Coturnix japonica: one gene and its partners. The protein of the gene in region 1 purifies or fractionates together with the protein of each later gene. This does not show direct contact. Links are inferred from orthologs where the notes say so. Each region holds a gene or a part of one and is shown in the gene's direction. Other genes may lie near its edges.

The links. Proteins that work in one complex are often made in the same cells at the same time.
Region 2: the proteins of CUL1 (region 1) and FBXO9 purify together in Homo sapiens (affinity purification with mass spectrometry; 4 studies listed by BioGRID and IntAct, with this or other methods). This does not show direct contact. The link is inferred for Coturnix japonica from reciprocal best matches to the Homo sapiens genes CUL1 and FBXO9.
Region 3: the proteins of CUL1 (region 1) and FBXL8 purify together in Homo sapiens (affinity purification with mass spectrometry; 5 studies listed by BioGRID and IntAct, with this or other methods). This does not show direct contact. The link is inferred for Coturnix japonica from reciprocal best matches to the Homo sapiens genes CUL1 and FBXL8.

What each region holds. Positions count from the first base shown.
Region 1 is NC_029517.1:75,356,322-75,360,067, forward strand, and holds the start of CUL1 (cullin-1), read left to right. Parts: upstream 1-1,484; 5' UTR 1,485-1,625; intron 1,626-1,631; exon of another isoform or gene 1,632-1,892; intron 1,893-3,746. UniProt on the Homo sapiens protein: Core component of multiple cullin-RING-based SCF (SKP1-CUL1-F-box protein) E3 ubiquitin-protein ligase complexes, which mediate the ubiquitination of proteins involved in cell cycle progression, signal transduction and transcription.
Region 2 is NC_029518.1:80,659,227-80,662,972, reverse strand, and holds the start of FBXO9 (F-box only protein 9), read left to right. Parts: upstream 1-1,475; 5' UTR 1,476-1,779; coding exon 1,780-1,782; intron 1,783-3,746.
Region 3 is NC_029526.1:235,606-239,351, reverse strand, and holds the start of FBXL8 (F-box/LRR-repeat protein 8), read left to right. Parts: upstream 1-1,224; 5' UTR 1,225-1,225; coding exon of another isoform or gene 1,226-1,578; exon of another isoform or gene 1,579-1,580; coding exon of another isoform or gene 1,581-1,755; exon of another isoform or gene 1,756-1,785; intron 1,786-1,850; exon of another isoform or gene 1,851-1,951; intron 1,952-2,572; 5' UTR 2,573-2,639; coding exon 2,640-2,803; intron 2,804-3,339; coding exon 3,340-3,746. UniProt on the Homo sapiens protein: Substrate-recognition component of the SCF (SKP1-CUL1-F-box protein)-type E3 ubiquitin ligase complex.

The sequences.
Region 1 (3,746 bases):
AGGGAATGGTTTCAAGCTGCAGCGGGGGAGATTCAGGCTGGACATTAGGAAATATTACTTCTCAGAAAGGGTGTTCAGGCACTGGAATAGACTGCCCAGGAAGGTGGTGGTGTCACCAACCCTGTGGGTGCTCAAGGAACGACTGGATGTTGTGTTGAGGGACATGGTTTAGTGAGAGCTATTGGTTATAGGTGAATGGTTGGACTGGATGATCTTTTAGGTGTTTTCCAACCTTGGCGATTCTATGATTCTAAGGCCAGTTTTTGAAAATGGTGTGAAGCTGCTGGAGCCAGCATGCAAGTGAAACATTTTGGAGAACAAAGAAATCTTTTGTTTCTCTCTGTTGCTTCCCCATTTCTCTCTTCATAAGGAGCTAGTGCTCCTTATGGGCAGAATTCTTCATAAAAAACTTTTCTGGGCAGAATTCTTCATAAAAAACTTTTTTAATGATTCCATGCAAGTTGCTTTAAGTATCTTTTGGTATAATTCAGACCAGCATTTGACTTCATCTTGGCAAGGAAAGTCCCCATAGTTTGGGAGGATACAGTACAGAGAGCCATGATGAAGCAAAATACAGAGGATACATTAATCCCACCCTCCTCCTTTACATCACAGTACCATGAATGTTTATTCCTGAGGACTGCGGAATTATAAGGCAGGACAGAGTCCAAAGCATTACTTTTCCAAAACCTTGATTTCAATAACTTGGCTTAATTTTGGCATGATTTTGCATTATCCATCCCATGCTTTTGAAAATTAACTGCCCCTCTTGTAATCCATGTGACAATGATACAAAAACTAGCAGTTTTTATTTTATCTTGCATTAAATTCATATACATTTGTTCAAAGATCACAAACATCATTATTTAGTTCATGATCTATTTCTCTATCAGACCTTCAAGCATCTCCCCGTCAGCTCACAAACTGAATGATTAAACTTTTCTTTCAAAGAATTTCTACCCTATTCTCTCCGCAATGTTGTTTTCTGAGTTGTTTTTTTGTTTTTCATGAAATTCACAATAACATTACAATTTCTAATTATATTTAGGTCATTGTGACCATTTCTCTTTAACTGCCATTTTTCAATTCAGTGTTTACTCGAAACTAGTGACTCTTGATGCCGTTCAGATGAGAGCAGTTTAATTTGGTAATGTCAGATGGGGATTTTCTTCAGTGTTCATTGTAACTTTAACACTGGATACCACGTAATTCAGTGGCCTAGGACAAGCTAAGAATTAGTATCTAATAAATAAAAAAGCATTTGCGATTTCATCATGAGCAGATACAAGTCTTAGCATTTCAGACTGGAAAATGAGTGCACCTGATGGCTCTAGAAGCGGCCTAACTCTGGGGGGCCAAGCAGGATGACCCTTTAGGGCAGTAAAACGTACAGGCCAGAAGACTCGGACCATCAACGCGACCCTGTTGAACGACTGCGCCGTTGTCATTTCCGGCTGCACACACACCTGCCTTTGTCATTTCCGCCGGGGCAGCCGGAGAAGGCAGGCTTGTGGAGAGCAGCACAACCAAAGGGCAACTCCTCCCCGCGCGGGCGCCGTGGCTGCCGGTTATTTTTAGTTCCGGACTCGAGGCTCAAACTACGCTGATCTCTTCCGGTGGCTTAGGTGGGGAGAGGTTCTGCTGCGCTGTCTTTGCTAGCCCTTTGCCCGCCTTTAGGGAGAGGAGAGGAGGCGGCAGCGGGCTGGGTAGACTTCGCGTCTACCCACGGGTTGGGTCCTCTCCACGCCGTGGGTCGCTCCGAGCCAAGCTAAGGGGGGCGGTGCCTTCTCGCTTTCTGAGCCGTGCTGAGGGGAGGCGGTGGCGGATCTGGGCTCGGCGGTAGCGGAAGGGGCGGGCGGACGCGGCCTGACTCTGCGGGACGTGCGATACTGGTGAGTGCGGGAGGCCGCGGTGCTGTGTCGCAGCCAGGCCAGCAACGCAGCCGGGCCGGGTGGGGAAGCTCAGCTGGGCCAAGGCGACAAGGGCTTAACGAAGCGTGGCCCGGCTTTGAGTCATACAGCGAGGAGCGCGGGAGCAGGAGGGGCTGGGCCTGGCCGACCTGCCCGCCCGCCTTTCTTCTACCGGGCGTACACCGCGTTCCAGAGACAGCGGGAGTCGTTGTCTGACGGGTTCGGAGCTCCGGCCTCGAAGTTGCGGGCCGGTGCGGGAGGCCTCTAACTACGCACTGGAATTACATCACCCCGCCGGACCGCGAGGGCCCGCGCTGCCGGCAACCCTCGCCTCACAGATCTGCCTGTTGTCTGCCCTGCCCGCTCCCCTATCGAGGTCGGCCCGACCTCCCTCCCGCCTCCCAGCCCTTCCCGGCACGTGGCCTGGACCGCCACGGTCGTTGCTTTAGACTTACATCTCTCAGATCCTGACCCTTCGGGCCCTTCTTTCCAGAGCCCTACACCTCTTCTGCCTTCTCACTGGCCCTAGGACTGTATGCCCAGGCCGTGTTCATTCTAGGCCTCATCTATTCTATCCTGAGGCCTCTGGAGCTTTTCCCGTAGCTTGTCTCATCACCAGTGTTAGTTTTTTGTCTGTCTTCACTTCTCTTTTCTCCTTTATTCTTCACGTGGTTACCTTTCATTCTGTTGTTTCCATCTCAAAACTAGTAGCACTCAGATCTATATAGGACCCGTGTGGTTGTAGCCAAATTTCTCTTGTGTACCCACCCAACCCCTTACTGTCATCTCTAAAGTATTTATTTCCATTGTTGTTATCTTCCTCAGCTTTATCAAGGACTGTGCCCCAGGTTTTCCCTTGTAGCTCCCTAATGTTGTGTTCCCAGGGAGAGTTTCCCAACCCTCCTCCCTTTCTCACCCCTCTCTCCCCCCCCAAATAACCTCTTACCTGTTTGTTTGTTCATGTATTTATTGCCGCCATCCAGATGGCAAGTCTTGCAGTTGTTTGTCATTGCAGCTAATCACCTCCTTTGTCTCCCAGTAACTTTGTCTGCCACTGAAAGCTGTGTCCTTATTGTGATCCTTTTCCAATCCTTATTTCCTTTTCAGCCCTATTTCTTAATCATCACCATTCCCTTATCACCTTTCCTGTTTCAGCTTTCTTCCTCCCATATTTCCTTCACCGTGATTTTTTTTTTTCCCCTTCCCTTTTGATCTTACTTTCTTGTCTTAAAAATCTTCTTTGTCATCTCACCTCTTTTTCCTTTGGCATATTCCTTTCCTTTCTAGGCTCACTTGCTGTCCCCTGCACTTTAAGTCCTCCAGCTGTGCCTTTGACAAGAGAGGAATGTGAGCTTAATTCATCTTCAAGAGTTAGGCGATTATAGATTATTTACTTGTTTCACCTTACTTTGTTTTCATTTGTTTGTTACTGACTTCCTTAATAGCCTTTTGTCAATAAATGCTTTCATATATCATCACTTTAATACATACCTAATGCAATGCTAGTCTAGAAAAAAAAAATCCGTCTTAGGACCATCCTCTTAGTCCTGCCAAATGGTTTTCATGGGGAGCAGAAATAACTGGTGGCTGTGTAACTTAAATTATGCTAAATACCGTTCGTTATGCTGAATTGTTGTAATACTTTAAGTTGGTACTTATGAGATACAGGGTGTGTTAAGAATACATTTGCTTTGAGGAATTAGTAAAGTACGTCTTCAGTACCATGGTACATGGTTTTTGCTCCAGATATGCTGGTAGTGAGCTGCTGCAGTACTGTCATTCGATGGTAAGGAGTGTGTTGCATTGGCACTTGGTATCTGCTGGCAACTGCTGTAA
Region 2 (3,746 bases), on another chromosome or scaffold:
TTCCCTGGTCTCACTGGTCGCTCATTTAGAAAGACGCTGGTTTAAAAGGCTGTGGGCGGATTACAGAAGGTCTGGACACCCAGGCCACACAAATCTATACTGAGACTGTTACTTTACCTGTTAAACCGAATAATAATGTAAAAGAACCCTAAAAAGCAAGCGTTAGACTCCCACAGATGTGCATGACACTGAAGCCAGCTGGAGCTGCGCGTACTTATTTAACAGAATCACAGAATGACCGGGGTTGGAAGGGACCTCAAGGATCATGTAGTTCCAACCCCCCTGCCTGGCAGGGCCACCAAACATACCCACCTTTACTAGATCAGGTTGCCCAGGGCCCCGTCCAACCTGGTCTTGAACACCTCCAAGGACGGGGCATCCACAACCTCCCTGGGCAGCCTGTTCCAGGGCCTAACCACTCTCCTAGTGAAGAACTTCCCCCTAACATCCAACCTAAATCTTCCTTCTTTTAACTTAAAACCATTTCCCCTAGTCCTGCTGGAGACATCCCTACGCCATCCCACAACACACGCATGCAGCCCAGTGACAGGGCTTCGCTCCTCAATGAGATGCTCCCAGGCAGAACAGCCCGGACGCCCTTTAGCACAAAGCCACCACAAAATGGGCTGTACGCGTCTTCCTCACCACACCACCTCAACACCTCAACACGATTCAGTGCCTCCTGCCCGCAGTCACGCCGTGTATCCGAGCAGCTCGCCCCGCCGCCCCACAACACAAGCGCTGGCACTACGCCTGGCGGCCCTGGGGCGGCTCTCTCCTCCAGGCCCGGCGGCTGAAGCCCGGCCCGCAGCGGCCGCCACGTCCCCGCCGGCTGCAGCGGCTCCATCCCCGAGCAACCGGGCACCTCCTCCGCTCCTAAAAACACTCAGCGCGGCGGGCACGGATAAGGGCGAGGAGGCCATGAGTTAAGACACATACGTGTGTGATTTCCTCCAGAAAAAAAGCGTTACACTGAGTGGCCTGAATTCTATTTAGAGAACCAGCTGGAGCAGCAGGGCGGCACGGGGAAATCTTGTCACTGAGCTAGATGGGCACGGAGCCGTGATGGGCTCAGCGCCGTGATGATGGGCTCAGAGCCGTGATGGGCTCAGCGCCGTGATGATGGGCAGGCAGCCGTGCCTTCAGCCGCCACGCAGCGCCAGCCCCGCCAGCTCTCATCCCTAACAGCCGCCCGGCCGCCCCGCCCGGCACGGGCCGCCCCGCATTGCCCCGCGGTACTCACTCATGGCACGGCAGCGGCTCCTCGCTCTGCCGGCACCGCCGCGCTCCGTGTCGGGGCGAGGCCCGCAGCCCAGCACGGCGTGCCGGAACTGGCGCCATCCAGCGGAGACGGAGCCTCCCCCGGGATGGCCGCCCGAGCGGGACTACGGCTCCCGGCAGCCTCCGCTCCTCAAGACCGGGTCGGTGGGAGCGGCCGCCCGCAGGATCGCGCTGCCCAGCGGGGCCGAGCAGGGGGGCGTGGTGCGCGCAGCGGGGCGGGGGTCCGTGCCCGCGGCTGGTGTCGGCCCGCACCGCACGTCGGGCGGCGCTCTGGCCCCGCGGGTTCGTGTGTTGAGCCGTGTCCGCCGCTCGCGCTCCGCCTGCCCCTCACTCGCAGGGAAGATGGCTGCCGTACGCCGGGCCCGCAGTTACTCCCGCTGCGTGGTGCGCTTCTCCGACCGAGAACTCTGCTAATCTGCCCCGCGGGGACGACGCGCGGGCCGAGCAGGGGGGACCGAGGGCCCCGGGACGGGACGGCGCCTGCCGAGCGCCGGCAGCATGGTGAGCTCCCCCCTCCCGCAGGGCCCGGCCCGGCCCGGCCCGGTGCCGTTGGGTGCTGGCCCGCCCGGCTGAGCCCACGGCCGCGCCGCCCGGAGCTGCGCTGCTTTCCCCGTCCTGCCCTCGAGGCTCCTTGTTTGTGGGTTAGTTTGATTCGGTGCCGCCCTTCTGACAGAACCTCTGCGTGAGTTCGGGTGTCTGAGATCGCAGCCTCATCCCTCGAGGTCGCTCGGATCCCATTGGTATCGTTCGGGAGCTCTTAAACTCCGTACCGCTGTGTCTGAAACTTCTCTGAACACAGCGTTGATTCTGCAACATAGAGGGAAAAAAATGAGTTACATCCTCGTTCCCTTACAAGCCATCTAGCCGTCAGACCTGTTTTGCAGTGTCATCTGTGGGATGGACGCCTACAGATGCCGTGCAGCCAGCGTTGAGCTGCTTCTGATCGCTGCTTTACTTTGCTGGAGCGAGGATCTGAAATACTGAGTCCTTAGGAAGTGGCTGTGGAGCTCTGAGGAAAGCAGCGTGCAATTACTGCCTGCAAGAGTTAATACTGACTGCAAGAGTTAATACTGACCTGTGTGAATAAGCTGCTCTTGTGTTTTGCAAGTGTTTTCTAAAGCTTTGCAAACAAATTGGAATCGAACAGGCTCAGCTGACTTCTTTTTAGGTAGCTGTCTGGCTCAGACGGTCGCTGCTTCCACGTTGACCTTTTGGTTGCTTGATTTGCTACTGCTTTTCTCATGGAAAAATCACTTGAGCTGATCAGCCCGGGGTGAGGATGGCTCACCTTTTAAGCTGGATAGAGTTGCTCCCTGTTAGATGTGACAGCTGACAGGTTGCAGAAGGAAGGATGGTAACAGAAAGATGAGCAGGATGGATTTTTAACTAAGTAGCTACAGTGCAGTATTCTGTGGACTTAAGGAGCTGGAACTGTAGCTTGTGTTTTGTCAGGAGGGGCAGGAGGAGCCAAGTTTTACATGCCTTACATACGGTCTCAAATGCTGCCTGTGTGTGGTGATGCTTTAGCAGCACCTGAGTGTTTATATTCATTTGTATTAGCAAAACCACAGGGGTTTTGCAGGTCAAGTAAATAGCAGAGAGGTTGTTAGTAGAAACCAGTTAACCATGCAATAGAAATGAGGGCTAATTACTGGTAAATGTGGAAAAATTGTTTATTGTACTGCCTACAGACAAACCTTTTGTATGTGACTTCAGCTCACATGTAACCTCAGCATAGAGAAAGTAAAGGTGCAAGTCAGATTTTGGTTACAAAGAGCTTTGTCATGCTCAAAGCTGTTGGGCTTTGCTGTAGGACTCTGTAGCATGTTGTATTTTATGTTTGGGTTTAGAGCGCACTGAAGTGTTGAAGAGCATTTAGTGATAATTGGAAGCAGTTGGTGCAGAACTACGACAGGTCTTTGACTGCAGTGGAAGAGACGTAGGTTGGCTGGAGTAGAAACAACGGGAAGGAAGGCAGGACTCCTGAATGGGTGCTGAAACAAAGTCTGTGAGTGCGAGGTGGACTTCAGCCAGCTTCAAAACTTGAATAATCCCGATTCCTACCACAACTTGGCTTCAAATTTATTTGCAGACTTTACAGGTTAAAGCTTTTAGTAGTGGGTGCGCCTTTATGCACAGGATGATAGCGTGTTGATTTGGTTTAGAAATAGCTCTACCGGTCTCTGCATTTTGCAGATAAAACCAGCCCAGGGTAAGAGCTGACTGGGCACAGCTCAGCTGCATGCCAGAAGCCTTATATCTGCCCTCTGTGCAGGCAGAAGTAGGCCTTCCTTGTGTCACCACTGTGCTGCAATAGTGCCCTTACCAGACGTTGATTACAGAGCTAACGTGTTATCCAGCTGTCTCTGTCCAGCGTAGATGTAATCCTTCGTGCTGCGGTTCTGTTGCAACAGGACAGCTGTAACTGCTACAGCATGAGCTGCCTGCAGTCTAATTGTAAGTTA
Region 3 (3,746 bases), on another chromosome or scaffold:
TTATAGTCCAAAAATACTCCATGGCCTCATTTCTCCCCAGCACAGTAAGATTACAACCAAGATGTTCTCTGGGACTGTACACTTCAAACAGAAAGTTGATTTCTCTAAACCTTTACAGCACAAAGGTGTATCAGATCATTCTGACCTCATCTGCAGCACCAGTAACCCCAGTGGCCACAGTAAAGCCCTTGCTCTCTGTTTATGAAGCTGTTGGGAAGCATGCATGTGCTCCAGAGAATCCAAACCTGCCAACCCAACAAAGCAATCTATGGTGCAAGGCCTCAAAAGTCCTGAGAACTATAGCACAGCATGAGAAGAGATGCACAGAGGTTGATGCAAATAATAACCACAGCAGGATCCCATGAAGGAACCACACAATGCACACTGCAGAGCTGCTGGCACACAGAGCACAGCCTTATAGGCCTCTCACACAGGCTGGGCTTCTCTTCATCAGCGTCAGTCAGGGACTCATAGCCTGCTCCTAATAAAGCAGAGCAGGCTTTGCAGCCATGCAGGGCCCAGTAGAGCTGCCTTTAGCCTAGTGCTGTCGCTTTGGACTTTGACCAGTCCTGAGGCCATAGATATTGGAAGGGGGATGGAATCAGTCTGGGCAGACAAACCCTTTGTTGTGGTTCAGTGGCCATGTAGGACACTCCTGGCCCTGCACCAGTCAGCTCTGATTATTGCAGCCACACGCTTGGGGATACCTCTCTATTTTAGGTCCTAGCTCCTTTATGATTCCTCTCCCTTATATGACAGTGTGTCCATCTCTCCATTCTCACTCTGCCTGTGCCCCACTAGCCAGCTGATACTGGCTATGGGATGGTATGAGTTCAGAGGGATCCCAAAGGCCGTCTGCTCGCACTGAACAGGGACACCCACAGCTCCATCAGTGCTCACAGCCCCATTCCCTGACCTTGGCTGTGTGCAGGGATGGGGCAGCACCAGCTCTGTGTGCAGCCTGTGCCACTGCCTCACCGCCCTGACTGTAAAGAACCTCTAACTTAGCTCCGGTCTTAAACTCCCCTCTGTTAGTTTGAAGCCATTTCCCCTCGTCGTGTGACAACAGACCCCACTAAACAGCCTGACCCTCTTTCTTACATCCCCTTTACACACGAACCACCGCCCCCGCATCCCGCAGGGCCCGTCCCTGGGCACACTGGTGGCCGCCCCGAGCCGCCGGGGTAGTGGGGAGGGAGCAGGGGGGGCTCGGGGCGGCCCTTACCTCCCGCCGCCGCCGCCCGGCCTCGGCGCTGCCGCTTCCGCCTCTGCGCGGCTGCGACGGACGCAGGGAGGCACCGCCCGCGAGGGGTGAGCGGGGAACCCCCGGTGTGCGGCGGGCGGTGCGATGTGCTGCGGTTCGGCAGCGCTCAGTCCGCCGTGCTCATGGCAGGGGGATGGAGCGCAGCGCGGGGTGGGGGCTGCCTGAAAACAGCGCTGCGCTGTCAGAGGAAACGACGGCACCCAGCGGTCTCCCAGGAAGGAAGCGGGTCTGAGTTCTCCGGCCGCTGTCGCTCGTCGCTGGGGGGAAGCGCTGCTGTCGTTGCGACGATGGCAGATACGATAGCGGCTGTGCTGAAAGAATGAGTCACACTTCGCAGCGGAGAATACTTGAAAAAACGCGGCCTTCTGTTCCTCTCTGGGTTGTACTTGTTGCGTCGCAGCTCTCCAGCAGTCAGGCAGATCTGAGGGGTGAAGTAATGCCGTGACTGAGGGCTGCCTCGGGGGTTCAGGCGGCTGTGGGACGCGGCCCATCTCCCAGTGCTGCTCCAAGAAGGGCAGTGCTTGCAGGCTGCACAGCTCTGCCAGTACAAATCCTGCTCCTGCTCATGATAGGGACTGAAAAACTGCCTCGCATTGGTGCTTTTATCTGGTGCTTTTATTTAAGCAAAACAGTCTAGAAAAGTGGATGAAAAATATCACATTTAGATGTTATTGATCTTTGTCCAAGGTGTTTATACCTCACATATAAGATCAATCAAATTGTGCTTTTTAAGTCTTGTGTAAATGGGGCTTATAACAAGTAGGTTAACAGTAATAAAACATTTCTGTCCAGCTGCCAAGCCTTGTTACAGGCAAGGGTCACTGTGATGGAGCTGCCCCGATCTGCTCTGAGCCTTTTGTTTCACAATGGGTACAGAAACGGGTGTGTGGGGCTGTTTGCTGTGTAGAGCTTCTGCTTGCAAAGAGGTTTTGTTTTTCCCCCTCAGTTTGAGAAATCTCTCTCAGCTCTTTGCATCGCGGTGCAGCAGCACTAGAAAATTCTCATGCATTTTTTAATACTTAGAGTAGCAAAGCCCTTGCTGCGGGAAAATGCACTTCCTTCCCCCCCAAAGCCTTGATCTGACATCTTTAGTACTTTATTTTCTAGCTTCATAGGCCTGGTTGGAAATTGTGTGCAAACCTTTGGCCAGTGGATTTCCTCTGTTTTTGTGCTGAATCTCAAAATGTGGTGAAGTTTCAAGTTTAAAATAGTGCTGGCCCCATCTGTGATCCAGTTGCATTGGATTTACTTTGTACACAGATGCTAAATATCTCTTCTCTTATTCATTTATTTATTTTATTTTAACAGGGTTGTTTGAGAATTCACTGCAGTTTTTGAAGTGTCTCCAGTTTCTGAAGCTGACTGCATCAGCACTATGCTTGCTTCAGCCCCTGACCTGTGGAGCTGCGTCCCAGAGGAAATCCTCATCCAAATTTTCTACTATCTTTCTCTTCGAGATAGATACACGGCCTTCCAGGTGTGCAAGCAGTGGGCTGGGGCTGTTTCCTCCAGTTCTGTTTGGCACTTCACAGAGATCAGGTATGAGGAATGGGCTTCTGAAGTGTGAGCATCTTTGCAGGCCTATCAAGAGCATTACGTATCAGTGCATGCTGAAGATTTACAGTGTTGTGCTGTGACAACTAATTGATGTTAGTTGTGATTTGTGTGTGTTGCGTGTTGCTACATTTTGTGACTAGAATTTCTTTATATAATAGAGAAAATGGTGTTATGCAATGTGGGGTTTTATATTAACTGCTGGTGATGGTTTGGGTGCCACGGGAAGTATTACATTCTCAGGTAAGTTTCTTCAAGTTGAAAACAGCAGGAGACAAAGTTATTGAATAGTCATCCTGATGGTGGCACTAACCTCACTGCTGGTCTTTCTGGAGTCTGACTCCTCTCTCCCCCTCATTCCATCGGCATTTGGCCTTACAGTGACTTGCCTGGCATCCAGTAAGAAGAAATGTGTGGTATTTGCTGTTGGTATTTTCCAGAACACAGTAAAGGAGGGAAGCTGCTCTGTGTTTGCTCAGTTTACCTTCCACAGTGACTGACCTTCTGTTTTGCCCTTCCAGCTGTGACTCAGAGGATGAGGAGGGCATGCTGCAGAGCCTGTGCCAGTTCCTCAGCCAAATCAAACACCTGAAGATCAGGTTTGACCAATCCAAAGAGGTCAACCGCAGGAACGTGACACGCATCTTAGATATGCTGGCAAAGCAGAACCACAAGCTGCAGCAGCTGTGCATTGCGTGCCACGGGGAGAACCCCTATTTCTACTCTGGCCAGGACATCCTGCGGAGCATACGGAATATGTGCAACATGAACAACCAGGTAGATCTTCAGCATGTTGATTTTCGAAACATGCCCTTTACTCTCGATGGGCAGCTTGTTGAACTCCTGGCTACCACCAACCCAAACCTGCAAAGCTTGTTCATCAACAACCGCACTCTGGTGTGCAATGTGGCACCAGACACCATTAGGA